Lonchura striata: one gene and its partners. The protein of the gene in region 3 interacts with the protein of the main gene of each other region in a pairwise test. Links are inferred from orthologs where the notes say so. Each region holds a gene or a part of one and is shown on either strand. Other genes may lie near its edges. The genes, in order: GFAP, MEOX1, CWF19L2 and SF3B4.

Region 1 (8,190 bases), on a different chromosome or scaffold from region 3:
GGAGCCCCGAGGTGGCCGTCCGGAGCTGCCTGGCCCCTTGCCCGGAGAAGCGAGTCCCCGAGGAGGGCGTGCAGTCCATCTCCAACATCATTTACAAGCTGGGCGAGAAGCCCGAGCTGCCCCGCGTCCCCATGCAGTACCACAGCCAGCCCCCCAAAAGCGACCTGGTCCTCACGTGCCCGGGAGCGCGGCCGGAGCACGCCGTGGCCTGGGACAAGGGCTCCGTGCGCCTCTACCGCTCCCACTACCTGCTGGGGGTCCGGAAGCACATGAGGCTCTTCATCGACCACGGGAACCACCTGCACCTCCAGCGGCTGCGCAGGAGGGACAAAGCCACCTACTTCTGCTGGCGGGAGGGCGAGCTGGTGGCCGGCTTCCAGCTCAGTGTCACCTTCCAGCCCCGGCGCCAGCGCAGCCCCACCGACCCCGAGTCAGTCTTCGTCATGAGGGCCGTGGGCATCAGCTTTGCCATCATCATCGGCATCTTCTTCCTCATCCACCTGTCCCGCTGGAGCTCTCAGGTGTTCAGGAAAGTGGCCAAGTCATAGCAGCTCCCCCACAGGACACTCGGACACCTTGGGTCGCCCTCATGCAGGAAATTTCCAATGTGAGGACCATTTTCATATATTTTGGTTTCAATGTTTGGTTTTGACCTTTTGAAGGGAAAATAATTTTTTTTCCCCAAATTATTCTGGCAATTTTCTTCAGAACCGCCTCTGCTTTTGAGGTGTTTTTAACTCATCCAATTCAGCACAGAGCTGGGAGTCAGTATTTGTGCCTGACAGGGTTATCTTACACATCCCTCAAAGGTGGTGGCATCTCTGCAGGGTTTCAGCAGGGAGCAGGATGTGCCCTCCAGGCTCATCTCCTTTGTTTGAGGATGTGACTTGAGGATTTCAGCAATCCCAAGGGAACTGCTGCTGTCTGGGAGGGCACTGTGGGTCCCAGCGATGCTCTGGAACTTGAACAGTGTAGATGATAGCGAACCAAACACCTGGTGAGGACATGAGAAGCAAAGTCAGGGAGGGAGGCAGGAAGGGATGGAGCTATGGAAAACAATCTGTGTCTCCCACATTCAGGGATGAAGCAGGGCACAGCTGGTTGGGTCCTTAACGGGCAACAAACCCACCCAAAGCCCCAGCATGAGCCAGGAGGGGCTCACACACAGAGGCAGCTCCAGGCCTGACTCTCCCTCGGGACTTTGCCACCAAACTCAGCCCCAGACAGAGCCTGGTGCCAGCAGGCACCAGCCAGGGCTGTGGGTGCCAAGCCAGGGCTGGTGCAGGCCAGGGGAGCACAGCCACCAAGACTCATCAGGCAGCATTGCTCCATGCCTTCCCCTCTGAATCCCTAAAAATGTCCCACTAGAACCCCACATGCTTCCCCCACTGCCCTGTAATCTCCCCTATCCCCCCCAGGAGCAACCCCTGCAGGGCCAGAGGTGCTGGAAGCTGAGGACTGCTCCTGTATCTCTGCAGCCCGTGGTTTGCTTGTTGGGAGGCAGAGCTGGCAGCAGGAAGGGCACATTTCCAGCACAGCTCAGGGATTCGTGCAGGCAGGAATCCAGGACCCACCAACGAGCCCAGCTGGGAGCTGGCTGGAAAATCCTGCAGACACCTGGGCTGCTCCCCCGAGAGCAGCCAGGGGCCAGGCTGAAGTGACAGCCAGAGCCTGCACCTGCCCAGGCAGCCCTGACAGCCCTGAGAATTTGGGCAAGGGCCTGGCTGGAGCTGAAATCCACTGGCAGCTTTGCACCCAGACAGCAGAGAGCACATGAACAGAGCCCCTGGGGAGCAGCACTGCCAGCTCGGGCCGAGGGGACAGCCCGGGGACGTTGGTGCTGGCCCAGGTGTGCAGGTGTGTTTCCTGCCCCAGAGCCGGCAGCCCTCACCTGGAAGATGGCGTGGGAGCGGGAGGAGGAGGCGTTGGCCTTGGTGGGACGCTGTGCTCGGTTTTTATTGCCTTTGGCCAACATGTCCAGGAGCTGCTCTGGTGTCGTGGGCTGGGGGAGAACGGGCAGGGGCCGGATCAGCACCTGGGCAGGGCAGCCGGGCACCCCGAGGCCGAGCAGCCCCGGGCAGCTCTGCGGGCCCCGGGCAGCTCGAGGCCACCTCTGCTGCCAGCCAGGAGCCAGGAGGCTCCTGAGACCTCCCCACCCCGTGTCCCCAGGGTGCTCTCAGCACTGGTGCGGGCACAGAACAGTTTCAGGCTGTGTTTTGGGGTTGCTCTTGTGTCTCCCCATTCCCGCAGAGCTGCTGGAGGACACAGCTCCAGGTCCAATGGTCTGGGGTGCTCATGCACTCCTTGGGGGGAGGGTTGGTTCAGCGGGAGGATGCAGTGGGGGAGAGAGATCTCCAGGCTGGGAGAGGTCTCAGAGACTCTCTCTGGGCTCTGCTTCCCACTGCCTCCCTGTGCCACCCCCAGGCAGTTCCCCCTTAGAGCCCCCCGTGAGCCTGAACCCCCTTCAGGCTCCCACAGCCTCCCCAAAACACAACCTGACACCCACGGCTTCCCCAGTTATTCTGCAGCCCTTTTGCCTCCCACAGCTCCCACAGGACACGGGGAGCCAGGATTCAGGAGCAGCTCCCAGCTGAGCTGGCCTGAAAAAGGCTCTTGCTCTGGGGTTGGGCTCCGTTGTGGCTTCCCCCCATCTCCATCATCCCAGGGTCCTGTGGGGGCCTCCGCACCCTCTTCTGAGCTGGGGGAGGTCTGGGCACCCTGCCCAGTGTCCCAGAGTGCAGGTGAGGGGTGGGGGAGCCGCCTGCCCTCCTGGGACCTGACACTGTGTAGTGATGGGAAAGGTTTTGTTCTGTATTTCTGCTCTGCCCCATCACTGCCACCCGTGCGACAGCCCCACCCCGGGACAGAGACCCCCAAGCACCCAACGCAGGGTCCGGTGCTCCCACCACCCTGTGATCCCCTTTCCTGCCGTGCCAGGGCACATCTGGCACTGTCACATCTGGTTCCCTGCAGCAGCTCCTCGCAGCCGCCCTCGGTGTGACCGGGAGGGGCAGAGCGGGGCCGGGGCAGCCCCGGGCGCTGCTGTCCCACGGGGCCGGGGTCACCGGCTCCTCCCGGCTCCTCCCGGCTCCTCCCGGCTCCTCCCGGCTCCTCCCGGCTCCTTCCCTGCCCGGCAGCTGCTGATCTCGCCTCTGTCTCCTTCAGCCTGGAAGCTTCCAATTAAAACTGCCAGCCCGCTGCCAGTTCCTTTGTCTCCTTAGGGGGGCCAGGGAAGAGGAGGAGGAGGAGGAGGAGGAGGGGGAGCCCAGCTCTGCCTCCCGCCGCTGCCGGCAGTGGCCGCTTCCCGTGCTTTGATCGCGCTGCGTGGGAGCCGGGAGAGAATCAATCCCTGGGGAGCAGCGGGTGCCCACACAGGACCCCAAAGCTCCGCAGCCCCCGCTCTGTCCCCCAAGGACCCCAAAGCTCCGCAGCCCCCGCTCTGTCCCCCTGCACCCCGCTGTGCACCGGGAGGGAGGTGTCCTGTCACCAGAGCTGCCGCACAGCACGTGTCTCCAGGGATGCCGCTGTTGTGGCGGTGACACAAGAGTCACTGGGGGATGTGTAGGAGCTCCAAACCTGGAATTCCTGTGGGCACAATCCCTGCTGACACCAGCACAGGACAGCCGGGAGAACACGGGGCTGGCTGGAGGCAGGGAGCTTCTGGGGGTTAAAGAAGGATGTGGGAGCTGTGCCAGTCCCACCAGTCTCACCAGTATGGTCCCTGCTGGCTCTGGCTCTCCCAGGGCTGCACCCACAGGGACGCAGCCGTAGCCACAGCTCTCCCCAATGGCCACTGTTGGTGGCCCAGTGATGGTGGCCGTGGTCCAGCCGAGTGTTCCCCCGGCAGGCAAGAGCCTTTCCCGGCCATCGGCTGCCATCTACTGCCAGCGACGGGGCCGGTCCCTGCCCCTGTCCCTATCCGCAATCCCTGTCCCCCAGTCCCTGTCCCTGTCCCTGTCCCTGTCCCTGCAGCAGAGTCCCAGGGACACTCCTGTCTTCACCCTGGCTGCTTCTCGGGGCACCCACCCTTGTGCCACCACGTGTGGCTCCTGTCCCCATGTCCCCAGAACGCCCCCATCCCCTCCCTGGGCCGTGCCCAGGACCCCTCCGTGCCCCAGTTTGTGCCCATTCCTCCGTGCCAGGGAGGGACGGGGCTGGCGCTGGCGCCGTGCCCGCCTGGATCAGCCCCCCGCGCTTCCCGGCAGCGCCGTGCCCTGGCACAAAGGCTCCTCCCGGCTGTGCCCGGCTCCGGCTCCGCACAAAGCCCCTTTCAGCCGCTGCGGAAAGCCCCTGGCAGCCCCTGCCCTGCGCCCCCAGGGGCAAAGCCCCCAGACCAGCGCACTGGCAGTGACACGGCCACGCACACTCAGCTGTGCGGGACCAGCGCCTTCCCACGGGGACCCGGGGCCACTCGGGACGGGGACTGCGGCTCCAGGGCCACCAGCCACTGCTTCCACAGACCCTTGGGATGGGAGGGATTTAGGAGGCTCCAGCCACCTAATTAACACCTGGTCTTCATTAGCAGCACCCCCAGTGCCCCACGGATCGCAGCCAGCCTGGCACCAGCTCCCACCCCGCTCTGTCCCCACCGTGGCGCGTTCCCCGAGCCCTGCAGTGCCCGGAGCGGGGGCAGCGGTGGGCAGGGGCTGTGCCGCGGTGCCCGGGCCGGGTGCCAGGGCACAGCCACCCCGCCGGGCGCCACAGCCTGGCGCCGTGCCGGCCGCTGGCTCCCGGCCGGGGGCAGCGGGCAGGACGGGGCTCCGGGCTCCATAAAAACCCTCCGCGGGCACATCGCGCCCAGCCGCCCGGCATGGAGAGCCGGCGCCCGCCCTCGCACGGCCCCTCCGTGCCCGCGTCCCGGGCGCTCCCCGGCAGAGCCCCGGGCCGGCTCCGGGCGCCCCGCAGCCCGCAGCTGGGAGCCCGCCCGGGGCCCCGCCTGGGCTCGCCCGGGATGGACTTCTCGCTGGCCACGGCGCTCAACTCGGAGTTCAGGGAGACGCGCACCAACGAGAGGGTGGAGATGATGGAGCTCAACGACCGCTTCGCCAGCTACATCGAGAAGGTGCGGCTGCTGGAGCAGCAGAACCGGGCGCTGCGGCTGGAGCTGAGCCAGGAGCGGGGCCGGGAGCCCTCGCGCGTGGCCGACATCTGCCAGGAGGAGCTGCGGGAGCTGCGGCGCCGCGTGGAGCGCTTGGCCACCGCCAAGGCCCGGCTGGAGACGGAGAGGGACAACCTGGCCCAGGACCTCGGCAGCCTCCAGCAGAAGTAAGGCGCTGTCCAGCTCGGGGTAGCCCTGGGGAGCAGGGTGGCCCACTTGGGATGGGTGTCAGGGTGACCACCAGGACCAGGGTGGCCACTGGAACCAAAGTGGCAGCGGGGACCAGGATGGACACCAGGATGGTGATCAGGATGTTCCTGGTGATGGGAACCACGGTGGTGACAGGGACCAGGGTGATCCCTGGGACCAGAATGGAGTCCAGGGTGTACTCAGGGGTCAGAGTGGCCCCTGAGACAGGAGCGAGGTGGCCCTGGGGACCAGGGACTGGTGTGCACCTGGACTGTGATGGGATATGGGTGACCCCTGGGAACAGTGTGGGGTTTGTGTGGGGGTGTGTGGGGTGGGCACAAGAGCTGACCTGGGTTTGGAGGGGTGCTGGTGCTGTAGGGCTGTCGGGCCAGGGGGGTCTGTCTGTGGGCTGAGAGTGACCAGCCACGGTGCTGGACGTGTCACTGTGCCTCTGCTCTGGCACAGGCTGCAGGATGAGGTGACCCTGAGGCTGGAGGCTGAGAGCAACCTGGCTGCCTACAGGCAGGTAAGGGCAGGGGCCAGATCCTGGCTTGGCCTGCTCTGGGAATGGGCAGGGATGGACAGGGATGTAGCAGAGACAGGAAGGGATGGGGAGGAGCAGGAACTGAGGGACTCGTATGTGTTACAATGAGCAGGTAGGGAGCAGGAATGGAGCAGGGATGAATGGGAAGGGCAGGGATGGACAGATATGGAACATGGATGGGCAGGAATGGCAGGAGCAAGCAGTGAGGGACTGGGAAATGCTGTGATGGGCAGAGAGAGGCGGGGCTGGGTGGGAGTGGGAGGGAATGGACATGACCAGGCAGCTCAGGATAGAGACCCAGGTGGCCAGCTGGGACAGTCCCTCCTGTCCCCTCACAATGACAGGATGTGGATAACGCTGCCTTGGCTCGCCTGGACCTGGAGAGGCGTGTGGGGACCCTGCAGGATGAGATCACCTTCCTCCACAAGGTCCACGAGGAGGTAACCCCGCTCTGGGCCTGGGGGTCTGGGGCTCAGGGGCTGCCCTGACCCCCCTGTCCCCACAGGAGCTGCGGGAGCTGCAGGAGCAGCTGGCCCGGCAGCGGGTGCACGTCGAGGTGGACGCGAGCAAGCCGGACCTGACGGCCGCCCTGCGCCACATCCGCAGCCAGTACGAGGCCATGGCCGCCAGCAACGTCCAGGAGACCGAGGAGTGGTACAAGTCCAAGGTGCAGTGGGAGCTGGCTGCCCCACAGATGGATGGCCTGGCTGTCCCCTCCCAAGGTGTCACCATCTCGGGGCCGGGGTTGGTGGTGTGCGGGGTTTGGGGTCTCTGCTGTCCCCATGTGCTCCTGGGGCCGTGTCCCTGCTGTGGAGCAGAGCAGGGTCGTGTTCCCACGCCGTGTGCCACCAGAACACAGCCCTGCCCTGGGGTCCCATGCCACGGCACACGTCCCCTGTCCCAGTTCGCAGATCTGACGGACGCGGCCGCCCGGCACGCCGAGGCCTTGAGGGTGGCCAAGCAGAAGGCCAACGAGTACCGGCGCCAGCTGCAGAACCTCACCTGCGACCTGGAGGCTCTGCGGGCCTCGGTAGGTGACAGCCGGGGGGTGCAAGAGCAGGGACACGGCCTCAGGGAGCTGCCAGCACCAGGGGTTCCCTGCTAGGACCACCCCCACAGCCAGGGGAATGGCTGGTCCCCAAGGGTGGGAGACAGATGGACGCTGGGGAGAGCCCCCAGCTCCTGGAGAAGGTGCCATGGAGGGAGTCACAGCCCCCGTGGCCCCCCAGAATGAGTCCCTGCAGAGGCAGCTGCGGGAGCTGGAGGAGCGCTACGCCCTGGAGACGGCCAGCTACCAGGACACGGTGGGGCGGCTGGAGGAGGACATCCACAGCCTCAAGGAGGAGATGGCCCAGCACCTGCAGGACTACCAGGACCTGCTCAACGTCAAGCTGGCCCTCGACATTGAGATCGCCACATACCGCAAGCTGCTGGAGGGCGAGGAGAGCAGGTGACAGCTCCATCCTGCCCCTCACCCCAACCCAGCCATGCCCCTAACCAAGCCCAAGTCCTCATGGTCCCTCTGGGGTGTCCAGCTGGGTTGGGGACCATCCTCCAGCCCTGCTGCCAGAGCCCCAGGCAGGTGGAGCGGGGGGGCAGCAGGACCTGGTGCTCTTCCCAATGCTCCCATTGCCCCTGCAGGATCGCCATCCCTGTGCAGAGCTTCTCCAACCTGCAGATCCGAGGTGAGGCTGTGCCCCACGCGTGGGAAGGGGCAGTGGGATGGTGGCACAAACTGGGGTGGCTTCTGGGGGCTCTGTGGCAGGAGAAGCCACCTTAGCCATCTCTGCCCTATTCAGAGGGATCAGGAAGTTTTTCTCTGAATGCCAGGGAATCTCTTGGTGCTCCCAGGGTAGGGGGAGGAGGGTGCCATGACCATATCCCCAAGGCTGAACATGTCCCCAAGGCCGATGATGTCCCCAGTACTGATCACATCATCGTGTCCTCAATGACAACTACATCCCTAAGGCCAGCTGTGTTCCTCAGTGACAACTGTGGCCCCAAGGACAACCCTGTCCCCAGGCTCAATCACATCCCAAAGCCACCCATGTCCCCATGGTCCACAACATCTCCAAGGTGAGAAATGTCCCCAGTGCCCCCACAGCCCAACTGTGTCCCCAGGACACATCAGATCCTGCAGCCTGCCACATCCCCAAGGCCAACCATGTCCCTGAGCCAGCCCTGTCCCTGAGGTTGGTTGTGTCCCCAGGGCTGCTGTCTCTCATGTTCAGGGGTTTCCAGCCCAATTAATTTTCTTTGGGCTTCTTCTCGTGAGTGTGGCTGGAAGGGCCATACCCGGGGCAGGGTGTCACTGCCTTGTCCTGCCCATGTCCCCCAGAAACCAGCCTGGACACCAAAT
Region 2 (8,264 bases), on a different chromosome or scaffold from region 3:
ATCTACAACACTTTAACAAAGTAAAAATGGAGCCCTGTCTCTCTCTCTGCAAGGCCTTTTAAGGATAAACTGTCTAATTAAGAAATGACACCTCAATTATTTTTACTTTCAACCTAATAACCAACCACCCATGGCTGCAATGTGGACTTTTTATCCAATTACACAAAACCACCCAAACCCATGGAGAAGAAGGTGGAGAAGAAGGTGAAGAAGAACCAGCCTCCACTCTAAAATCGCCATCTTGCTTTTTATACATTACTATATATATAATTATACAATTATATATAATTGTACATTATATATATATATGTATAACTATTATTATATATTTATAAAACTTTAAACTCTTCCACCGTGTGATATTACACACTTCTATTCAAACTCCACACCCACAATTCCAATTTTATCATTCCCTTTTGGAAGCTTCTCCACAGCCTCAGGTCAGTGCAGTGCTCTCCTGGGGGTCAGTGCCTGGCAGCACAGAAAGTCTCAAATTCTCACCAATATTACACTTCTGCTATTCTTTTATTCTTCCAGACAGGCTGAGAAAACTGTTCAAATGAGTGATAGATACACAGAGCCCATCTCTGGGCCTGGCCTTTCCTCCTCAGCTCTCACAGCTGCTGCAGCCCCCTTCTCTCTGTTAAAGATACATATTATAATATTGGCTTTTTGCATATGTTAAAATATATTTTCCATGTGTAGTGTTAAAGTAACTTTGTTCTAAAAATATAGTTTTTATTTCTGTTGTTAATTAAACTGAGTGAAATAGCTGATGTAAGTATGCTTGTGTTAAAATGCCTGCTTGGATGGGATAACATCCAATGAATATATGAAAAAGACACCTGATACAGATCTGCCAACCACCAGCACTCACCGTCTGAAGAGAGTGCAGACCAAAGCCCAAAAACTGGAGGAAATAAGAATACACTAAAACCAAAAGGTATTTAAGGGATATCCCCAAAAGTAACAGTGTGCTCTTGCCTGAGTGCAAAGATGCACCTGGCCATAACAACCTTTACTCTATAATCCTTATCTCTTATTGTGTCCTTAATCTCCTATTAAAAAGTTTATTAAACTTTTAAATTTTCCCAAGAAAGTGAACATGTTTTTCACAAGTGCTGCTGTGGCTGCCCTTGTCACTCCTTCTCTGGAAAAAAACCTCTGCTGGGTGTGCAGAGGGCAGAAGAAGGGTCAGCTTCTGGGGCTGCTCCTTAGCTGGGGAAATCCCACAGAGAGAAAGCTCAAGGATAAATGGACAGAGAAAAAGCTCAAGGATAAATGGATAGAGAAAAAGCTGAAGGATAAATGGATAGAGAAAAAGCTGAAGGATAAATGGACAGAGGAAAAGCTCAAGGATAAATGCACAGAGGAGAAGCTCAAGGATAAAGGGAAAGAGGAAAAGCTGAATGATAAATGCGCAGAGAAAAAGCTCCAGGATAAATGCACAGAGGCAAAGCTCAAGGATAAATGGACAGAGAAAAAGCTGAAGGATAAATGGACAGATGAAAAGGTGAAGGATAAATGCACAGAGAAAAAGCTCCAGGATAAATGGATAGAGAAAAGCTCAAGGATAAATGGACAGAGGAAAAGCTCAAGGATAAAGGAAGAGAGTTAACAGGTCCAGGATAAATGCACAGAGAAAAGGTTAAGGATAAATGCACAGAGGAAAAGCTGAAGGATAAAGAAAGAGAGGAACAGCTCCAGGAAAAATGCACAGAGAAAAAGCTCAAGGATAAATGCACAGACGAAAAGCTGAAGGATAAATGCACAGAGGAAAAGCTCAAGGAAAATTCCCTGCCTCCCTACGGGAGCGCTCCTCACCAGCCCCACCTCCCCATGCGTGCCATCCTCCCCATGCATTTCCCAGCGGCGGGCCGCAGGGCTGTTGACTTTGCGGAGGTTGTTGATTTTGCGGAGGTGGTTGATTTGGCGGAGGTTGTTGACCCTGCGGAGGTTGTTGACCCTGCGGAGGTTAAAGGCACCAAACGGGGCTCGGCAGGCGGGCTCCCGCTGTGTCCCCGCAGGAGCCGTGGGAAGATGCCGCGGCCCCGGCCCCCGCCGCGGCGCCGAGTGGCGGCGGCAGCTGCGCGGCCGCGGAGCCCCGCGGGCTCCCAGCGCAGGGGGCACCGGGGATCTGCTGCTCCCACATCTGGGATGCAGCAGCGACGGCGAGAGCTGTCCCGGCGATGAGGGCGGGGGGGAAGACAAACGCTAAGCAATAGGACTGAGAAGCAAGCTCCGGCTTTATTCAAAGATACCTTAGCTTGTATGGGGTATTCTACAGGCATGGGCAGCGGTAAGCTCTGACCGCTTCATTTACAAAGGGCTTTGTTTTATTTCTCCTGCGTGCGGTTACAGATGTAGCTAAGTTCTCTCTCCAAGCCAAGTTTGTCATCTCTGAGCCATGCCTTCCAAGGACAGAGCATATCTTTGAGGCTATGCCTGTTCTTATTATCCCGTTCCCAGACCTTGTACCACTATGCAATTTCCCAGAAACAGAGACTGGTTTCCAAGCTGTGTATCCCAAGTTCCACAAAAGCCTGATTCTGGGGCCTTAGACAGAGGTTTTTTGGAACAGGTATTCCATAGAATCATGGCCTTGTTCTAACAACCATTCCCCAACACCCGAGTGGTCTCACCTGGAGGGAGACGATGTGGGAATCCCTGCTGGGGATCTGATCCTGACCCAAGTGGGTTTGGAACTAAGGGACAATCCTCCTTTCTTCTGTCCCTGTGTGAAAAATGCCAATCAGTTGGGTTTTTTTAATTTTAATAATAATAAAATGGTTATAAAAATAACAATATAATCACAGTAATAAAGTTTAGAGTTAGGACAATTACAAGACAATAAAAAGCAAAGAATTACAGATGTCTGGATGCTCTCGGACACTAGAAGTGTGCTTTGTGAACAAAGGAATAACTTTAAAAGCAATAGCCTGTTGTATATTCATATATCTCATACATGATGCATAAATTCTTTGCAAATTAAGAACTTTTTTTGGTTTTGTCAACTTCTTCTCCTTAATCTTGTTGGTTCTAGAAAGACAGAGAGAAGGCAGAAGAATGTTTGTCTTTTCTGATAAGGAGGCTGTAATTTTTTATGGGCCCCCTTCGCTACATCTCTGTGTGAAGAGTTTCTTGATTATTTCATCTTCTTGCTTGATCTTGTAACAAATCCTGTATTGTAGAGTTTCTATTTTAACATTATGTTGTAACCTAAAACTACATTTAACATACTACGCAAGAGAATTAATACAGCATAACTTTTTAACATTACACATATAATATTTATTGTAACATTTGTGGAAAGCTAATCATAAAATATGCATTTTTCACACCTGCAAGGACAAATGTTTGCTAATTAGAGAGATCTTTTTGTAGACTGAAGGCAGAACTGCAAAACATGTGAATTCATGCAAATTCTGAGTGACACATGTAAGTGAAGTGTTATACATATGTCAACACACACACACACATAGAGAATATAAATTAAATATTCTGCATGGGCAAAACCTTCTGGACTCTGACTTGGATTCTGACAGTGCCTGAAATATGTGCAGCATTCACAAATTCCTCAAAATCTTTCAGAAAAGGAGTCTGAGGGTCTTCCTCCTGCCTGTGAATATGAAATGCTTTTAAATGTTTACTATTTAATGCAGCAGAGCAACAGATTTAAGTGTTTAGGTGAGTTCTTTCTAGAGAATTAATTAGCTCTCAGATATTGAGAATTTTGCATGAAAATTTAGATTCCTGTGAGAGAAAGGAATTTGATGTTCCTGTTCAGAAGGATCTAAACGAAAATAATTTGATTTCCTGGAAAAAGGCCAAGTTCTAAAAACCAACAGATATAACAGCATAAACACATTCCCCACCTCACCCAGATTCCATTGAATTTTACAGTTCTGAACGATAAAAAAACCAAAATAACTTCAGTATCACTTCAGCTCTTGTGAAAAATGAAGACCTCATGTCTGTTAAATCCCTGTGCCCCTGAGACAGCACAAAACCCAGCAGCAGTGGTGGGAGAAGGGACAGAGGCACACACAACGTGGAGCAAGGCCAGGGGAGTATTTGAAATGGTTGCAAGCAGATTTCTGGAAACATGGAACACATGCCTACCTTAATTGTCATTAAAAATATTAATAACCCTGGCATAGCAGCGTTTGGGACATCCTCAGCTGCCACACTTCTGGGAAAAGGGGATTGAGAACAGATTCCCTGTTAATGTCTTTTCAGCTGGGATGGCTCTAGGGCCTAAAAAAACTCTGCTTTCTGTTAGGAAAAACTATAAAATGTTCAACAAAAGATGAAAAACATGTCTTTCATTGGCATAAAATCAGGACATTTCCTTGCAGGAGGGTGAATTGAAAATTCCCTAGAAAGTAGAATACAGAAAGAATAATTGCCACTGGCAGCAGACTCCAACCCTCGGCAAATATATGTGTTACAAATCTAACAAAACAAACAAATATTACTCAAAGCCTTGCATGTGTGTACAAGCCAGGTTTAATATTTTTTTTTAACCTTAGGATTGGGCTTTAAATTATATATAATTAGTGAAGTCCTTTCTTACTTCTATTTCCCACTTTAGTTCTTGAAATTTGGTGTCTATTGAATCCTGTTTTAGGGCTTTTTCTAAACCCAAGACGGAGAATTTTGTTAACAGTGCAATAAAAATAACTTCATAGTGTTACAAGGAAACATTAAAGACTTTTTTTTGTGTGTGCTGCTCTTTCCCTCGAAAAAAAAAAAAACTACAGACATTGTTTCTTTAAAAGGCTCCATCTGCAAATCCCATTAGATGTGCATATAAGGTTTCAGATGATTAATAGCTGCCTGCTTTGCTTTGGTTGGAGGGGCTGAGGGTATGTGTGTTAACCCCTCCCTCCCTTCGCTCACATTTCACTTCACAAACTTGCCACCGTCTCCCCGGCACAGTATTTAAAAAGTGTTTCCCTCGTGCCCAGCACTTCACCAGGGAGCAGCTCATGGCGTAATTCTGCTCCCCCAGCCAGGGCAATGAAGACCTTTAGAGCCAGAGTTGCTAAAGCAGCAAACCCGCAGCAGCACCAAAGCCACGCGCAGACTGTTGTTTAGGGAGGCGACCTGTGAAACTCGGGAGAGTTTCCCTGCGCTTCCCCCGTGCCTCTGGAGGCTGAGCGGAGCAGGCGGGAGCCGAGGCCGGCAGCGGCGCGGATGGAGCCCGGCAGCAGCGGCTGCCTGCGCAGCGCGCAGCGCCCCGCGCCCAGCGCAGCGCCGGGGCTCGGCCGCGGCCCCGCGGCGCCCTTCTCCTTCCAGCAGAAAGCACTCTGCGCCGCTTACCCCGACTTCTCAGCCTCCTGCCTGGTGACAGCTCCGCACAGCTTCCCCCAGGAGCAGCGCCCCTCGTTCCACTGCCCCGAGTGGCACCTGGCAGCAGGAGACAGCGCGGGACTGGCCCTGGCTGCTGGCGAGGCACAGGGCAGCAGCCCCAGCCTGCTGAGGCTGCCTGTGCCTCTGGAGGAAGATGAGGCAGCGGCGAACCCTACAAGTGACTCTGAGAAAAAGCCATCCCGAAGGAAAAAGGAAAGCGCAGGTAGGTGATATGAAATCAGGGTTGTGGTAGACTGCAGGAGATGGAATGAGAACACCTGGTGAGACTGGGACTTAAGAAAGAAAGCTGCTGAGCAAAACATTCCATAGTATTTGACTGGGGAAACTTTAGATGGTAACAGAACTGTTATTGTCTTATTCTTATTCTTATTCTTACTCTTATTCTTACTCTTATTCTTACTCTTATTCTTACTCTTATTCTTACTCTTATTCTTACTCTTATTCTTACTCTTATTCTTACTCTTATTCTTACTCTTATTCTTACTCTTATTCTTACTCTTATTCTTACTCTTACCCTTATCCTTACCCTTATCCTTACCCTTAATTACTCTTACTCTTACTCTTACTCTTAATTACTCTTACTCTTACTCTTCTTTTTCTGGTCTTTGTATTTCACTCCTGCACATCTTGGGTACTGAACATTTTACTCTCCAGCACAATGCACATTTGCTGTAACTGAGCAGGAGTCACATGGCATGTGCACACAGAGCTGAATTCTAGGGTGTGGAGTTATCCAGTCACACCTGCCATTTGTCTGAGCAAAAGAGAATGGCAGAGAGCAAAGATCCCTCATCTTGAGCTGCCTGTGCTAATAGGGAATGTCATATTAGGAATTTGACATCTCAGTTTATGGTAAGAAGTACAAGAGGCAAAGTCTTCCTTTAAATATAAATTCTGTTTGGTCTCACTAAATGTCAAATATTTTAACCTCAGAGCAGAAGGTTCAAAAACTTTGCCCATCAGTAAAATGTCCAACAATGCAGAAAATGTACATGGTTTTCATTGTGTCATCCTAGCTAGCAAAGAATTCTTTTTACACTGTAAAAATCAATAATTTTGTAATTATACAAACTCTAAGTTGCTGATAACTCAGATCCAAATCAGTGAAATATGCATAAAATTGTTTTTTCTTAGGAAGTTGTTACAATTTAAGATGCTCTTATGCATTCAAATGCCACAGTATTCACATACAAGCTACAGTGTGCTTTTCCCCACAGTCCTGCCAACAAGTGGAGAATATTTTCCAGTAGCCTAATTTCACAGGCAGAGAATGCAGGGATAAAAATATTAATTGATTGGTTTCTAGCTTTTGCAGACATTTGTAGAATTTAAGCTCATTTATACTAAAAAAAGCATGTTTAGGCAAAATTTTCCCAAATACAAAGAAGTTTAAATAAAATAGCAATTTAAAAGGTGAACAACGCTTTCATTAAAACATCAGCTAATCATAGGTAAACAGCAGATTTCAGCTTACTCACATTAGAGGGATATCTTTATCCTTAAAGAGACTGATACCCTCTTTTAAGTGGAAGAAAAACATTCCTTTATTTTCTCTTACTAGCACTCTTCACACTTCCTTTTCATACTTGCTGCTGTTCCCTACTCTCTTCCTTTCAGGGAGCTGTAAGCAATGACATCCCTGAGAGGTCTGGGCTTCCACCTTCCAGTGACCACTGCAGCCCTGGGGAGGGGCAGCTGCTAAATTCCACCCAGCATGGAACTGGTTGGGATCCTGGAAGGAGACACACTCCTTGGGAAAGGCACACATCTGCCTCTGGCTCCTTTCCTTTCCTTTCCTTTCCTTTCCTTTCCTTTCCTTTCCTTTCCTTTCCTTTCCTTTCCTTTCCTTTCCTTTCCTTTCCTTTCCTTTCCTTTCCCCTTTCCCCTTTCCCCTTTCCCCTTTCCCCTTTCCCCTTTCCCCTTTCCCCTTTCCCCTTTCCCCTTTCCCCTTTCCCCTTTCCCCTTTCCCCTTTCCCCTTTCCCCTTTCCCCTTTCCCCTTTCCCCTTTCCCCTTTCCCCTTTCCCCTTTCCCCTTTCCCCTTTCCCCTTTCCCCTTTCCCCTTTCCCCTTTCTTCTTTTTAAACTGGCTGTACAGTAGAAAAAACCTGTCCAAGATGATTTTGTCCTTTCACACGTTTGTCATTTCTCACATTCTGTTGTCAAAACTGAAGCAGCTGGGCCACGTTTCCACTTCTGGAATCTCACAGAACCCCAACCATGGACAAGGATTATTTCTCTTGACAATACCCTGTGGCACGCAGTGTCCTTGAGAGATTCCTAGCTACACACCCTACTCTGCCCCAGAAATACCCAAATATCCATTTTAAATTATTCCCACTGTCTTTTGGGGATGCAGACTGGTGGACCGCCCCTTGGAAAGGGAATCTGTCCCATGTACTTTGCACTGGCTGCTTGTTTTTAGTTTCTGCCCTGTGCTGAAGGCTTGGAGAGCTGCTGCACCCTCCACGTGTCCCTGAGGGCAGCAGAAGCCCCAGGGGAGGCTTTGGGCTCAAGGCTCCCAGGAGCTGGTGGCAAAGGTCCCAGCAAGAGATGCACACTTCAAATCCTGCTTCCCCCTGCTCCCTCCCAAGTCACACTTGTGAAATGTGATAGTGTGTCTGTGCAGTACAAAGGGGATTGTTCAACTGAGGGCAAAAACATGGGCAGAAACTTGTGAAGTTTTGTTCCTGTACATTCCCCATCTTTTTTTGTGGGTTTCTGAAGTAGCAGAAGCAGCATGGAACAAACCAAACTAATTCCCTGGAGTGGAAAGCAGCCCAGCTGCAGCGTGTGCCACACTGCTCCCTTGTGCATTCCCGGACCTGTGTTTGGTTTCTCCTTTTCTGATGGGCACAGATAAGGCCAGGTCAGTCACAAAACCTCACAGA
Region 3 (7,193 bases):
TTTCTGAGACAAGACAATGACAATTCCCTTCTAAGTAATCCCTCAGAACTGGATGTAAAGGACGGCTTGATAGTACCAATGGCAACTGAAAACTAGGTGGTTTTAAAAATGAACAGAATGAGAATTAACTGAAACTAAGTACATTTTGACTGGGGTGTGTCCCCTTTCTGTCCTCTTACTATGATCTTACTGGATAATGTTTTTCTTTAGTATGAGGACTTCATAATGTGTTGTTGTAACTGAGGTAAGAAATGCTCTCCAGCATCACAGTGGGAAAAGATTTTGTTTTCTCAGGAAAAAACAAAAAACAACTCTTTTCCCTAGTGAAACCTTGCATCTAGTTTAAAGAAAACTGCACAGTATCACACTGAGTAGAGAGGATTTTTTTTTAACCTTTTTGAAATAAAAATAAAACAAGCTGAGAGTTAAAGCACGTAGTGAAAGTTAAAAGCATGGAGGTTTATAACACACATCAGTTGGAGAGTGACCAATTTCTTTCAGAAAAAGTGTAAAATGTGCCATTAAATGGAAAATAATACTTCACTAGGAAAGGTCAGTTCCTCCCTGAAGTTCATAAAAATCAGTATATCCAGGGTATTACTGTTTTGTTAGCCTTTTGATTTTGGCACAGAGAATTAGACAACTGAGCAGAGGTGCCCAGCTGACCATTAAAAGTGGTATACCAAGAAGTATCTCTCTAGGCTCACTGAAGATTTCTGAGCATGTGAAGAGCTCTCAGACATACCAATATCTTCAAAGAAATAAGGGTAAACTTTAGTTTTTACCTGCTCCATTTAAGAAAATACTTTTCTCAAAAAAAGGAGAGGAAATGAAATTAAATTATGCCACCATTTCCCTAACCACTGACTTCAAAATTAAAGGCAGCCCTCAGATATAACTTTCTAGGTTTTACTGTTCTTCAGATTCTAGAGCATATTTGTGTCATAGTTTCTTTCCTAAAACCAGGAGTATTAGAAAATCATTTTAAATTAAAATTTACAGAACCACCCTATTAATGACATGGAGGGTTACAGGTTTGAAGAATGGCACCTAACAATGCAAGAGCTCACCCTGTGCTTTGAATCCTCTTCTTTGTCTGTAACTTTCTGCTGTAGAAAATACATTCCCTGTTCTCACTCCCAAATTGTCCACATCTGTCACTATTCACACTATGCCACAGTCTCCAGACTTTCTGTTCGCATTTTCAAATACTTCCTAAACTGATTCAGTCACAAGTAGTTGGCTCAGCTCATGGACTATCAATTTTCTGTTTAGATTTAATACAAATCTATTAAGCCCATATGCCTGGCTGTGTGCTGAGCGAGTTAGAGAGCACCCACTTGAGATACTCTGCTGGCTGCCTGGAACAAGTGGTAGCACTGGGATGGAAAGAAACCAATTTGTTGGTGAGAAGAGCACATCACAATCAGAGAAGAGGCTTTCCTTAATGGGGCAAACATGCTCTTTTCTTGCTTCTCCTCTTTCAAGCAGTGTACTTTGCTGTATATAGCCAAGGACTGGAAGTAGCATTAGTCAATCCTGCTGGAACATCTTCTGTATCCATCTGTTTCCTCTGTAAATGGCTCCCTGAAGAGGTTTCACATGCTGCTTTTCCAAATGGTGCCTATGAAAGTCTATCAGTTATCATTCTATACCTGTGGTGATCTACAGCAGGTTTTTCTTGAGATGCTGTTAACTGTCAGCATAAATTGAACAATTGTGCAAATTTAATTTACACATTTAATACCACCATGGAGATGATGATTAAATTACTGTTACCACTTTAAAAACATACTGTCCCATGCAAATAGCTAACAAATTACCCAAGATCTTCACTCAGACCTTGGCCTAAATAATATTACTTGGCAGCTGTGGACACGTTTGGTGTCAGACACATTAATAATGCTCTGATCTCATCCCAAAGAAATTATGTCCCAGATAAACATTTGTTTCACCAGAGGCAAAGAAGCCCTGTCAAATGGTGTTGACCAGCTGCAACTTCCAAATGGTTGAACACACCTGCTTTTGCATTTCCCTCTGCTCACCCGTGCACATTCTGGGCAGCCAGCACCCTGACATTACAGAGGTCACAGTCTAACATGGATGCACTGAACTGGCTGAAAACAGGTAAGAAAGTGTCTGGAAAATCACCTGGAGGTGTTCACAGCAATGGGGAGCACTGGGCACTGCAGAGCACCTGAACCTGTGAGCATCTTTCAGGCCACGTTCCCTTGTTTGCTCTCATTAATGCCAGTCTGGACAAGCAGGCTAGGGTCTGTGCAAGGGAATTTCAGCCCAGCAGGAGGGATGAGCCTGGATGTCAGTATCCCCAGTGCTGAGGATTGCATTTAGTGCTCAGTGTGCAGCTGCAGGCTGAGTACTGGGGAGAAGCCTGAGCCTGAGGCAAGAGACTCTGAAACTGCCAAAGGGTACAGGGACTTGTGGTGCCAGCCAGGTGCCTGGACACTCCGGGACATGGAAGGAGCCAAGGGTTCTAGACATGGCTCTGCTTGGACTGTGCTTGTGAGGGTGTAAGAGCCCTGAGATTTCTTCACTTGGGGTCCCTCCTTGAAGACACCCAGCTCAAGTTGTCATTTTGTTGTGGTATTGTGATTAAACTATTTTAAGGATTGAGACGTCAGAGACTTTGCTGTGGGAAACCTGGGGTTGAGCCAGTAAGGAAGCCTTGTCTGACTGTGGGGTGTGTAGCTGCCAGGGCAGCTCAGGTGGTGTGAGTGTGACTGCTGGAGAGGCTTCCGGGCGGCTGCACAGGGAAGTTTCCTTAATGCCCATTGCAGGACTGTGTGGTCCTGTTGGTCAGGTAGCACAGGGTTCCAATAAGCTGCTGTGCCAGGACATGGTCTTTGCTGGGACTTCCACCTGTGATGCTGGTGAGCTCTGAGCAAGGTGTGGGGAACCCACCTGGGTGCGTGGGATGGGGCAACCCTGGATGTGCAGACAGACTGGGACAGACTGAGGCTGGAAAGCAGCACCATGGAAAGGGACCTGGGGGTTCTGGTGTGTGGCAAGCTGAACATGAGCCAGCAGTGCCCTGGCAGCCAGGAGGGCCAACCCTGTCCTGGGGGGCATCAGGCACAGCATGGCCAGCTGGGCAAGGGAGGGGATTGTCCTGCTCTGCACTGGGGCAGCCTCACCTCCAGTGCTGGGTGTCACAATGTAAAACAGACACAAAGCTGTTAGAGACTGCCCAAAGGAGGGCAATGAAGATGGTGAAGGGACTGGAGGAGCCATTTGAGGAACGACTGAGGGCACTTGGTGTGTTCAGCCTGGAGGATACTGAGGGGAGACCTCATCACGGTCTGCAGCTTCCTTGTGAGAGGAAGAGGAGCGGCAGGCACTGATCTCTGCTCTATGGTGAGCAGTGACAGAGCCGAGGAAACAGGCGTGCAGCTCAGCCAGGGGAAGTTCAAGTTGGATACTGAGAAAAGGTTCTTCACCCAGAGGGTGGTTGGGCACTGGAACAGGCTCCCCAGGGAAGTGGTCACAGCACCAAGCCTGACAGAGTTCAAGAAGCATTTGGACAACGCTCTCACAAGAATCAGACGGTGTGGTTCTTGGGGATGGTCCTGCGTAGGAGCTGGGCATTGATGATCCATGTGGGTCCCTTCCAGCTCAGGACATTCCATGACTCTATAACCCTGCCATGAACCGAGCGAGAACAGAGGGGCTGAGGGGCCGAGCCGTGCCAGACCCCGGCTCCGGGAGGTCCCCGCCGTGCCCGGCTATCCCCGCTGTTCCCCCGTGCCCGGCTATCCCCGCTATCCCCCTATCCCCGCTGTTCCCGCTATCCCCGCTATCCCCCTATCCCTGCTGTCCCCGCTATCCCGGCCATCCCCGCTGTCCCCCGTGCCCCGCTATCCCCGCTATTCCCCTATCCCCGCTGTCCCCGCTATCCCGGCCATCCCCGCTGTCCCCCGTGCCCCGCTATCCCCGCTATCCCCCGCTATCCCCGCTATCCCCCTATCCCCGCTGTCCCCCGTGCCCCGCTATCCCCGCTATCCCCCTATCCCCGCTGTCCCCGCTATCCCGGCCATCCCCGCTGTCCCCCGTGCCCCGCAGTCGGGCGCCGCCGCAGCCGCCCCACCCCGCCCCCCCGGGGCGCTGTTCACGACAGTGTCGGGCGGCGCTGCCGTACGGCCCGCGCGGTTTCCGGCGGGCGGTGCGGATGGCGGATGGCGTCCGGGGCGGCGGGCGAGCGCGGCCGGGAGCGGCGGGAGCGGGCGGCGCTGCCGGCACAGGTGGGGTCGCCGGCCTTGCCCGGCCTTGCCCGGGCTGCTCAGCACCTCGCCGTTCCCTGGGCTTGGCGCTGGGTGCTGCGCGGGTCGGTGCGCTCCTGAAGGCGGCCTGGCCGCGGCGGCCGCAGGCGGGGAGGCCGAGGGAGAGCCCCTCTGTGCCTAGGGCAGCTGGGCTGCGGCACCGACGGTGGCGGGACGCAGTCTGGAACTCCTGCGTGGCACCCACCCGGTTTCGTGCGTTTTGCCACTTGTGGTATTGATCCTCTTGGTATTTCACTTATTATGTATTTCTGTGCTTACACTTTTGGAAAGAGCCGGAGTCTTTACCGTCTCGCTTCAGATCTTTTATACATTGATAAGATGGCACCACCCTCACTCCCCGGCTGAACAGACCCAGCTCTCAGCCTTTCCTTAAATGAGACTTAAAAGGCGATAACTTCTCCTTGTCTTATGGCCCATCTTTCCTAAAGAGTCTGTATCCCTCCATTGCAACATTCTGGTCATAGACTGATAATAACTTGAAGTTGTGTGCATGTGTTAAGAAGTGGGAGCCTGATTTCATAGGGTCAGTTTTGTGCCTGGTGATATGTTACTGTACTGTAAGACAAGAATTAGGAGGCTCCCACTCTCAGGTGCTTTGGTAGAGATGCTGTGACTTGGAGACCCATGCTAATCCTGGTGCATTTTGTTCAAAATCTGCCTGGTTTTGGTATTTGTGATGATTCAGGTTGTCACTTGTAGGTAGAGTGAATGCTGAAGTCACAAATGGCACATCACTTAAGTGACATGGCTTGTTTTTGGGGTTTAAGGGAAGTGTAAGAGAAGTGTAAGAGAAATACTGTGGAAAGAGGATGAGGTTGTGATGATAGGCTTTTGACAAAAGGAAGGCTAGGGTAAGCAGCAGTCAAATCTTTCTGGGCAAAGATATTGTCAGAAAAAATGTAGTGGGCAAATGACCTGATTAGCCTGATGCTGACAGAGCAGTGATGCCTTTTCTCAAGGCAAAGCAGAAAGAGAGAGGATTTTATGTAATATATCATGTGGGCATCTCCTTTATGGAACCATTTCTTGGCAATAAAAGTTCCCTTCAGCGATTTCCCCCCCTTTTGACAAGCAGTTGAAAGGAAATTAACTTAGTAACAACGAGTCACACTGCCCTGCAAAAGTTTGTTGATGTTGTTAGGATGTTTGTTGCTTTACTCAAACTTCACCTTTGCTCAGTTCAACCTCTTGGATGTTCAGAAAATGCACTTAACAGAAGAAAAGCTTATGTAGGGCACTGTTATCCTACTTTACCTTTCCTTCTCAGCTGGTGCCCCTTGTACAGCAAGTTGCCTGGGCCAATGCCACTGGCTTAGAATCATAGAACAGCCCTGGCTGGAAAGACCTTGAAAGATCACTTGGTCCAACCCCTTGTGGGAAAGGCAGCCTAGGTGAGATTATTTAGTCCTCTGTTCAGTCATATCTTGAAAAACTCCAGTGGCAGGGTTAAGGAAACTCTCCTGGCTGATCATTCAGGAAGCACAGTCCCCAACCCAGGATGCACTCCCACCACACGAGGCTCTCACTGCTGGCACTGGAGCCTTTTGTGGAGAGCAGCTCCAGTGAGCCAGTGTGTGCTCTGCTTGGTTCCCTATACACAACACTCACACTCAGACAAGCTTCCCTTTCCAGCTTGACCCCAGGTTTTCCATGGAAGAGTCAGAGACATCTGAATCCTTACAATAGTTTAATCATGGTGCAGAACACGAAGTCAGTTTGAGCTGGGTGCCTCCAAGGAGGGGTCCTGAACAACCAAATCTCTGAGCTTTTATACCCTTGCAGTCTTAAGTGTGCCATAGTCTGGGTTCATCCTGCTGAGTCCTTGGCTCCTGCAGTGGCTCCGAGTGCCTCAGTGCTCTCCTGGCTGGCCCCACAATGAGAGACCCAGAGGTCTCTCATTGTGCACAGGGGCAGCACCACTTCAAGGCCTTTTTGCTTGAGGCACAGGTTGTTTTGGCACAGTTCCAGTAGTTGCTAGAAAGTTTGGTATCTTGAGCAGGGGGGCTACACTTCTCACTGCACTACGTCTCAAAGAGTTGCTGCACTTCAGCACCAGGGTACGCTGTTAGGATATGTCTCAAGAGTTGTTTGATGATGCTGCAGCTTCTTAGGTCCTAACTCTCGGTGTTAATTCTTGTAGGTTTAGATTCTGTTCATCAGCCTTGCTGAAGAATATTAGAGAAAGTGGTTTGGAGTTTTTAGAATTAAACCAAATCTGGCATTTTTTATTATTGCTAAGCTGTAGTGTATTAAAAGGTGTGTATATAGGATCTTTGTTGAATTTTGTAATTTTCTTTGACTTGAACAAGAAACAGACCATCATTGTATTGTTCAGCATATTTTTAAAATGCCATGAATACAAATTACTCCTACATGAATATCTTAAAAATGCATTTGCAGTATTTGTGTGATACTAGAGAAAACCCAGTGCACAACACTAATTTTCTGGAGTAAGACAAACTGATTTTCTTTGTACAGCAGTGGGCTCAGAGTTGGCTTTTACCATTCAAAACGAACAGATGGGCAGTAAATAGCTCTATAAAGATGCTACGTCATTGCTTAGACAAAAGCTGATCAAGTATTAGAACCACTGAGATGAATAAAGAGCAAAGGAAGTGGTTGCATGGTCATGTTACCCAGTTCTGTGTCAAATAGCTTATGCAGCCCTGGTCCCAGCATCTCAAGAAGAGCCAAAGAACCTTGGGCACGGTGGGAAGAAAGGTGCAGAGATGATCATGGTGCAGACTGGCCAAGGACTCTAGAGGTTTTGAGACAAGGAAAGATAGGGAAACAGAATGGAGTATAATTTGTGAAATGCTAGCCACTATGATTCTTCAAGTTCATTTTTTGTGGAGTGTAGGAATGGATCTGGAGACAATGATGTTTTCTACAGAT
Region 4 (7,206 bases), on a different chromosome or scaffold from region 3:
AATTATCAAAAAAATTACTGGATGCCACACTTAAAGGGACCGGTCAGCTAATTAGTTCTGACCCAGAAATTCAATAACTCGCTGACGTTTGAATTGTTTGAGAGGTCCAGCAGGAAGTGGGAGGAAAGGAGAGGTGGAGGGAAGACAAAAAGAGGAGATCCTGATCCATGTCCCCTCCCAGCTCCTCCCTGTCCCCTCCCAGCTCCTCCTGGACCCTCCCAGCTCCTCCCGGTCTCCTCCCAGCTCCTCCCGGTCCCATTCCACCTCCTCCCGGTCCCTTCCAGCTTCTCCCGGTCCCTCCCAGCCCCTCCCAGCCCCGTACCTGGGTGGTGCATCCCTCCCGGAGGGAAGGGGTGCGGGTGAGGGGGGTGTCCCCCGGCGGGGGCGGCTCCCGAGGGCGGTCCCGGGGCTCCGGCGCCCGGGGGCATCGGCGGCGGGGGCATGGCCGGGGGCATCCCCGGGGGCAGCGCTCCCGGCGGCGGCACCGGCGGAGGGAAGGAGCCGGGGGGAGGCAGGCCTGGCACAGAGGGAAATCACAGAATTCACTGAATTATCAGAGATGGAACTTCGAGATCATCAAATCCAAGCCAGCCCCAATGCCTCAGCTCAACCATGGCACTCAGTGGCATTTTTTAAACACCTCCAGGGATGGTGACTCCACCACCTCCCCAGGCAGCCACTCCAGAACTTTATCACTCTTTCTGTAAAAAATCTTTTCCTGATATCCAGCCTGTACTTCCCTTCAGGCAGATTGAGACCGTAACCTCTCGTTCTGTCAGTTGCTGAAGAAAAGAGACCAAGCCCACCTGACTCCAACCATTTTACAAGTTGTAAAGTGATGGGGTCACTCCCGAGTCTCCTTTTCTCCAGACTGAACATCCCCAACTCCCTCAGTTGTTCCTCACAGGGTTTGTGTTCCCAGCCCCTCTCCATACCATACAGGTGTGGGGCACACTGATGGAGAGTGAGCCAAGAGAAAAAAAAACCCAAAATTTGGGAAAGAGCCCTGCCCCATAAAGGTGCTGGAAAATGAGCCAGGAGGAAAAAATACCCTAAATTTGGGAAAGAGCCCTGCCTCATACAGGTGCTGGAAAGTGGGCCAGGAGGAAAAAAAAACCCTAAAATTTGGGAAAAAGCCCCACCCTATACAGGTGCTAGAAAATGGGCCAGTAGGGAAAAAACCCAAAATTTGGAAAAGAGCCCTGCCCCATAGATGTGCTGGAAAGTGAGCCAAGAGGGAAAAAATTCCTAAAAATCTGGGAAAAAGCCCCACCCCATACAGAGGCTGGAAAATGAGCCAGGAGGAAAAAAACCCATAAAAATGTGGGAAAGAGCCCTGCCTCATAAAGATGCTGGAAAATAGGCCAGGAGGAAAAAAAACCAAAAAATCGGGGAAAGAGCCCCACCCCATACACATGCTGGAAAATGGGCCAGGAGGAAAAAAAAACCCTAAAAATTTAGGAAAGAGGCGGGGATCGCGCGCCAGCACCTCGAGCCCCGCCCCGGGCAGCCGTGGCACCCACCTGGCGGGGTGACGCCGGGCCCCAGCGCGGTGACCACGGGCGCGGGCACCGAGGGCGGCGGCGGCGCGTCGGCGAAGAGCTGGTGGGGCCGGTCGGCCTGGGACAGGGGGTTCTGGGCCGCCAGCAGCCGCTCGGCCGCCGAGCCGTGCCGCTCGCCCTTGGAGTCCTTCTTGAAGGCGTAGGACACGGTGATGGGCCGGTTGCACAGGTACTGCCCGTTCATGGCCTCGATGGCGGCGTCGGAGGCGTCGAAGCTGGCGAAGTTGATGAAGGCGTAACCCTTGGAGTTGCCCGTGTCGGGGTCCCTCATGATCTTGGGGGTCTGCAGGATGACCCCGAAGGCGCTGAAGGTGTCGTAGAGGAGCTTCTCGTCGATCTCGGGGTCCAGGTTGCCGATGAAGATGTTGGCGCCCACGTCCAGGTTCTTGTTGTGGGCCGAGGCCTTGTTCACCCGGATGGGTTTGCCGTAGAGCTTGATCATGTTCATGATCTTGATGGCGTAGTCGGCGTCCTCCTCGCTCAGGAACTCCACGAAGCCGTAGCCTGGGGGATCCCAAAGGAGCTCAGGGGTGGGGCAAGACCCCTAAATGACTTCAGGGCACAAAGCCACTCCCCACACCCCGATTTAAAACTCCAGCTCGTTAAAAACCCCATGTAATTATCGACTGAAACCCCCTTGGTTTTATTGTATACCACCTCATACTCGATTCAATCCCCACTTCATGCAAACCAACACCTCCTGAGGGACAGAGGATGATCCCCCCCTCTCCCACACCACAATCCCACCCCCCTCGTTGCCGTTTTGGGGGTCCCTCACCCTGGTGCTGGCCCGTGACCCGGTCCTTGGGCATGTGCGTGTTGACCACCGGCCCGGCCTGCAGGAAGAGCTCCCAGAGCAGGGGCTCGCTGACCTTCTCGTCCAGGCCCCCCACGTACACCGTGGCATCTGCGAGGAACGGGGCTCAGCGCCGGGACCCCGCCACCCCCCGCGCTCAGAGTCACCCAAAACCCTCCCCTCAAAACCCTCCGGTCAAAACCCTCCGGCCAAAACCCTTCCCTCAAAACCCTCCCGTCAAAATCCTCCACTCAAAAGTCTCTATTCAAAATCCTCCCCTCAAAACCCCCCCATCAAAATCCTCCCCGCAAAACCCTCCGGTCAAAATCGTCCCCTCAAAACCCTCCGGTCAAGATCCTCCTCTCAAAACCTTCAGCCAAAACCCTTCCCTCAAAACCCTCCACTCAAAATCACTCCACTCAAAACCCTCCAGCCAAAACCCCCACAAACCCCAATCTCTCCTCGCCACCCTTAATCCAGGAGCCCCACAGCCTCTTTTTCCTTTGGGAAAAACCCCAGCCCACCGTGGCCTCGGAGCTCCGCCTGCTCCTCCCTCCGTATCCCCCCGCGGCCCAAAACCCCCTCCAGCGCTTCCAAGGACTCCCCACTCCCCACAGAGCCCTCGCCAGCACCCCGCACGGCCCCGGTGCACTCAGGCGTCCCCAGAGCGCTGCCCCGGTGCCCCCGGGCCGCTGCCGCCGCTCCCACCCTGGTTCCTCTCCGAGATCGGCCCCGCCGCCATCTTGCCCCGCTCCGCGCGCGCGGCGCCGCACGCACGCACGCACGCACGCCGCGCGTGACGTCAAGGCGCGAGCCCGGCGTTGGCGGGAAGCGCCGTCGTGAGGGGAAGGCGCGGCCGCCATCTTGGGTGCGGGCAGGGACCGCCGCGCTTCGTTCTGTCGCGACAGGACCCCTTCTGTCGCGACATGGCCTTTCTCTCCCGACACGGCCAGCAGTGCCCTCAGTGCCCCATGATCCCAGCGGCGCGGAGGTCCCAGGTGTGCGCTCCCGCAGCGTCCCCATCCCATCCCCATCGCTGAGCTCCCGGAGCCTCATGGAGGCAGCACAGATTTAATGGGGGACCGAGAGCCCGCAGCGCCCGTGCAGCAGCGGGGGCACCTCGGGAGCCGCCGCTCGCCCTTCCCGGCACCGCCGAGCAAGCGGAGGCGGCGGGAGCAGCTGGAGCAGCTCTCTGCTGAGAGCCCCCGAGCGGGGCTGGGCTGGCTCGGGTGCCCCCGGCTCTCAGTGCGGCCTCCGCAGGGTCCAGGTGTGGAGACGGTCCTGGAGCAGCTGCAGCTCCTCAGCCAGCCCGGCCAGCGATGGGGCCAAGCGCCCGCGCTGCAGAGAGAGCGGCCGGCACGGCGTGGGGACAAGGACACGGGGAGCAGGACATGGAGAGGTGCAGTGTTCATCATGGGACAGGGACACGAGGATGGGAACACGGGGCAGGATGTTCAGCACAGGATGGGAACATGGACGAGATGGGATGGATGGACATGGGGTCCATCTGTCCATCCATCATCCATCCATCCATCCATCATTCATCATCCATCCGTCCATCCATCCCTCCACCCCCATGGACACACAGACACCAGCTGCACACAAACTGGCTCCATCCTCCCCCCCAGCCAGACTGGGACCCCCCCCAAACCACCACCCCCAGTCTCCAGCCCTCCCCCGTGCCTCAGTTTCCCCAGTACCTGTTCCTGGGGCAGCCCCCTGAGGTAGCAGCGGTGCCAGAGGCGGACGCAGGGCCCGGCGGTGCAGGGCAGGAGCAGCCCCGGGGTGGGCTGGCAGGTCCCCAGGAGCCCCCCCTGTGTCCCCTGGCTGTCCGAGGGGGACCCCCGCAATGGGGGGCGCAGGGGGGGGCGGCTCCACCAGGGCAGGGGGTGAGGGCACAAGGAGCCCTTGGCCAGCGTCAGCACCAGGCTGGCACCCCGCCACGGGCAGGGGTCTGCGGGCTGGCAAAGGGGGAGCGGGGATTAGGGAAAATCAAAAAGGGGTGAAAGGAAAATGGGGGAGGAAAAGCGGGGTGAAAAAACAGGATTTGGAAATAAAAGGGGATGAAAGAAAGAGGAAACGGAGGGGATAAAAATAGGGATTAAGGGAAAAAGGGAAGCAAAGGAAGGGTGCAGCCCCCCCCAGGCCAGCCATACTCACCGTGCTGGGGGTCCGGGACTCAGCAGGGCCCGGGGGTCCCGCGGGGTTCTGGAACTGCTCCCGCTGCTGCCGGGTGTAGCGCCGGCCCCAGGCCCACACCGGGGGAAAGCTGCAGGGCTGGGGGCCTCCCCTGTGTCCCCCAGGGTCCTGCCAGCCCCCCATGGGTCGGTAGATCTGGCTGGGGAGCCGCGGCTGTGGGGGAAGTGGTTGGGAAGTCAGTCCCCTCTTTGGGATGGGGAAACTGAGGCACGGAGCCGGGGGGAAAAAAGGGGTAAAATGGGAGATCTGGGGGTGCCCGTCCCCAGTTTGGGAATGGGGATGGAGAAGGGGTGAGATGGGAGAGTTTGGGGGTGCAGCAATGCCCCTCACCGTGCCGCTGTGGCCCTGCTGGCGTTGGCAGCTGAAGCGGAAAGTGCTGAAGTAGGGGCTGAAGCTGCTGTCGTGGAGCGCCAGGAGAAAAGCCTCAGTGAAGCCAAAATCCGCCGGGAATTGCCACAGGAGCTGCCAGGTGCAGTCCAGGAACAGCAGGAACACGGGGGCCTGGGGGGGATTCGGGATTGGGGGGGGGGCTCACCCCTCACAGGCAGGTCCCAGCTCCTGTCACCCCACTGGGACAGCAATGGGGGTCTCACCTCCTCCCGAGGGCTGTCCCAGCTCCTGTCACCCCGTTGGGACAGCAATGGGGGTCTCACCTCCTCCCGAGGGCTGTCCCAGCTCCTGTCACCCCACTGGGACAGCAATGGGGGTCTCACCTCCTCCCGAGGGCTGTCCCAGCTCCTGTCACCCCGCTGGGACAGCAATGGGGGTCTCACCTCCTCCCGAGGGCTGTCCCAGCTCCTGTCACCCCGCTGGGGCAGCAATGGGGGTCTCACCTCCTCCCGAGGGCTGTCCCAGCTCCTGTCACCCCGCTGGGGCAGCAATGGGGGTCTCACCTCCTCCCGAGGGCTGTCCCAGCTCCTGTCACCCCGCTGGGGCAGCAATGGGGGTCTCACCTCCTCCCGAGGGCTGTCCCAGCTTCTGTCACCCCACTGGGACAGCAATGGGGGTCTCACCTCCTCCCGAGGGCTGTCCTGGCAGAGCAGCCCCAGCCGGCGTGGGAAGGGGTGCCCGGCTGCCACCCACTCCCGCTGCACCAGGCTCTGGAAGCCAGGCAGGGAGCGGGCGTGGGGGTCCCCCAGGAGCTGCACCAGAGAGGCCACCAGGCAGTTCAGGTCCCGGTCCGAGGGCTCTGGGGGGGCAATGTGGTGATGATGGGGGTCCCCTTTCCAGCCCCCTCCTGTCCTTTTCCAGCCCCACACCTTGCAGAACCACGGAGCAGCGCTTCCCTGCCAGCAGCGACGCCACCTCCACTGCTTTTCTCAGGCAGGAGCTGGGGGGCAAAAGCAGGGCTTCAGGGCACCCCAAAATGTCACTGTCACCCCTTTGGGTGGCTCATGCACCCACCACAATGCCCCCACTGCCCCACAGTGCCAGGTGGGCTGGGGGCGGACATTCCACCATGGGATTTATGGTGAATTTTCCCCAAAATACCACCCTACACCCCAAAGACCCCCTGCTCACCGGACGTGGTCCAACCAGCGTGTCCCCTCCAGGGCCGAGAGCCACTTCTCCTCTGCCACCGCGCCTGGATCCCACGGGAGGGAGTTTCAATGGGGGGTTCCCAGCTCCCCAGGGGGAGTTTGGGGGTCCTCGGGGTCCGCCCAGTGCCACTCACCAGGCAGGCAGAGCTCCCGCAGCCTCAGGTGGGCGAGCTGGATGTCGGCCAGCGTGGGCAGCTCGGCCGTGTCAGCCAACACGCAGGGCCCGCGGTCCCCCAGCAGCAGCGCCTCCAGGCACCTGGGGGGCACAGGGAGCCCCGGGTGGGGCCAGGTTGGGGGGCACAGGGAGCCCCGGGTGGGGACAGGTTGGGGGGCACAGGGAACCCCAAGAGGGGACAGGTTGGGGGGCACAGGGAACCCCAAGAGGGGCCTGGCCAGGGGCACCCTCAGCCCCCCACCCCGGGGCCCCCTGGCACCCACCTCACATCCTCGCTGCCTGGCTCCGAGGCCCGGTGAAAGCTGGCAGCTCTCAGCAGGTCCCCTCCACCCGGGTGGTGCCAGCACAGGCGCTGCAAAAAAATCGGGGTGACACCCCCACATCCCCTCCCAGTGCCCCCCACCCTGCCCAGGCACTCACAGGCACCCGTCGCTCCTGAAAGTGGCCAAAAGTTCGCTTGAGGTCGTGGTCCAGAAGCCCACTGGGCACCCAGAGGTACTGGGGGAGGCTGTGGGAAGGTGGGACACGGGTGGGGTCCCCCAAATCTCGGGTGCCATTTCCAGTGGCTCAGACAGTGCTGGGGACCCCCGGGGCTGTACCTCGGGGCCATGTCGAAGCGCTCATTGACGGCGCTCACCCTCCAGCCCGCAGCGCCCAGACGCTGCAGCTCCTTCTCCCAGTCCCGCAGGCTCTCGAAGAGCAGCACGGTGGACGAGCCTTCCTCCTCATCCTCCTCCTCCTCTTCTGGGGCGGCTCCTCCACGGCTGGAGCAGCCGTCGTGTGCCTCGGCAGCATCTCCGAGCCACGCAGCCGCCTCCCGTGCCTGTGCGATGGCGTTGGCCACCTGCGAGGGCAGCCAGGGCTGGGGTGTGAGGCGTGAGCCCCCCCCAGGCTTCCTCGGAGCCGCGGGTAGCCCAGAGTGAGGGTGCGACC

The links.
Region 1: the proteins of CWF19L2 (region 3) and GFAP interact in binary tests that used the Homo sapiens proteins (3 or more experiments, as listed by UniProt). The link is inferred for Lonchura striata from reciprocal best matches to the Homo sapiens genes CWF19L2 and GFAP.
Region 2: the proteins of CWF19L2 (region 3) and MEOX1 interact in binary tests that used the Homo sapiens proteins (3 or more experiments, as listed by UniProt). The two-hybrid records come from large-scale screens. The link is inferred for Lonchura striata from reciprocal best matches to the Homo sapiens genes CWF19L2 and MEOX1.
Region 4: the proteins of CWF19L2 (region 3) and SF3B4 interact in binary tests that used the Homo sapiens proteins (3 or more experiments, as listed by UniProt). The two-hybrid records come from large-scale screens. The link is inferred for Lonchura striata from reciprocal best matches to the Homo sapiens genes CWF19L2 and SF3B4.

What each region holds. Positions count from the first base shown.
Region 1 is NC_134627.1:2,883,107-2,891,296, forward strand, and holds the start of GFAP (glial fibrillary acidic protein), read left to right. Parts: upstream 1-4,892; 5' UTR 4,893-4,951; coding exon 4,952-5,265; intron 5,266-5,752; coding exon 5,753-5,813; intron 5,814-6,175; coding exon 6,176-6,271; intron 6,272-6,336; coding exon 6,337-6,498; intron 6,499-6,735; coding exon 6,736-6,861; intron 6,862-7,060; coding exon 7,061-7,281; intron 7,282-7,472; coding exon 7,473-7,516; intron 7,517-8,169; coding exon 8,170-8,190. Other genes in the region: Ig-like V-type domain-containing protein FAM187A, read left to right, coding at 1-548.
Region 2 is NC_134627.1:5,975,577-5,983,840, forward strand, and holds the start of MEOX1 (homeobox protein MOX-1), read left to right. Parts: upstream 1-5,184; 5' UTR 5,185-5,199; coding exon 5,200-5,578; intron 5,579-8,264. UniProt on the Homo sapiens protein: Mesodermal transcription factor that plays a key role in somitogenesis and is specifically required for sclerotome development. Required for maintenance of the sclerotome polarity and formation of the cranio-cervical joints.
Region 3 is NC_134604.1:44,166,087-44,173,279, reverse strand, and holds the start of CWF19L2 (CWF19-like protein 2), read left to right. Parts: upstream 1-4,184; 5' UTR 4,185-4,193; coding exon 4,194-4,259; intron 4,260-7,193.
Region 4 is NC_134635.1:2,714,829-2,722,034, forward strand, and holds the start of SF3B4 (splicing factor 3B subunit 4), read right to left. Parts: upstream 3,116-7,206; 5' UTR 3,101-3,115; coding exon 3,067-3,100; intron 2,470-3,066; coding exon 2,341-2,469; intron 2,067-2,340; coding exon 1,524-2,066; intron 518-1,523; coding exon 323-517; intron 1-322. UniProt on the Homo sapiens protein: Component of the 17S U2 SnRNP complex of the spliceosome, a large ribonucleoprotein complex that removes introns from transcribed pre-mRNAs.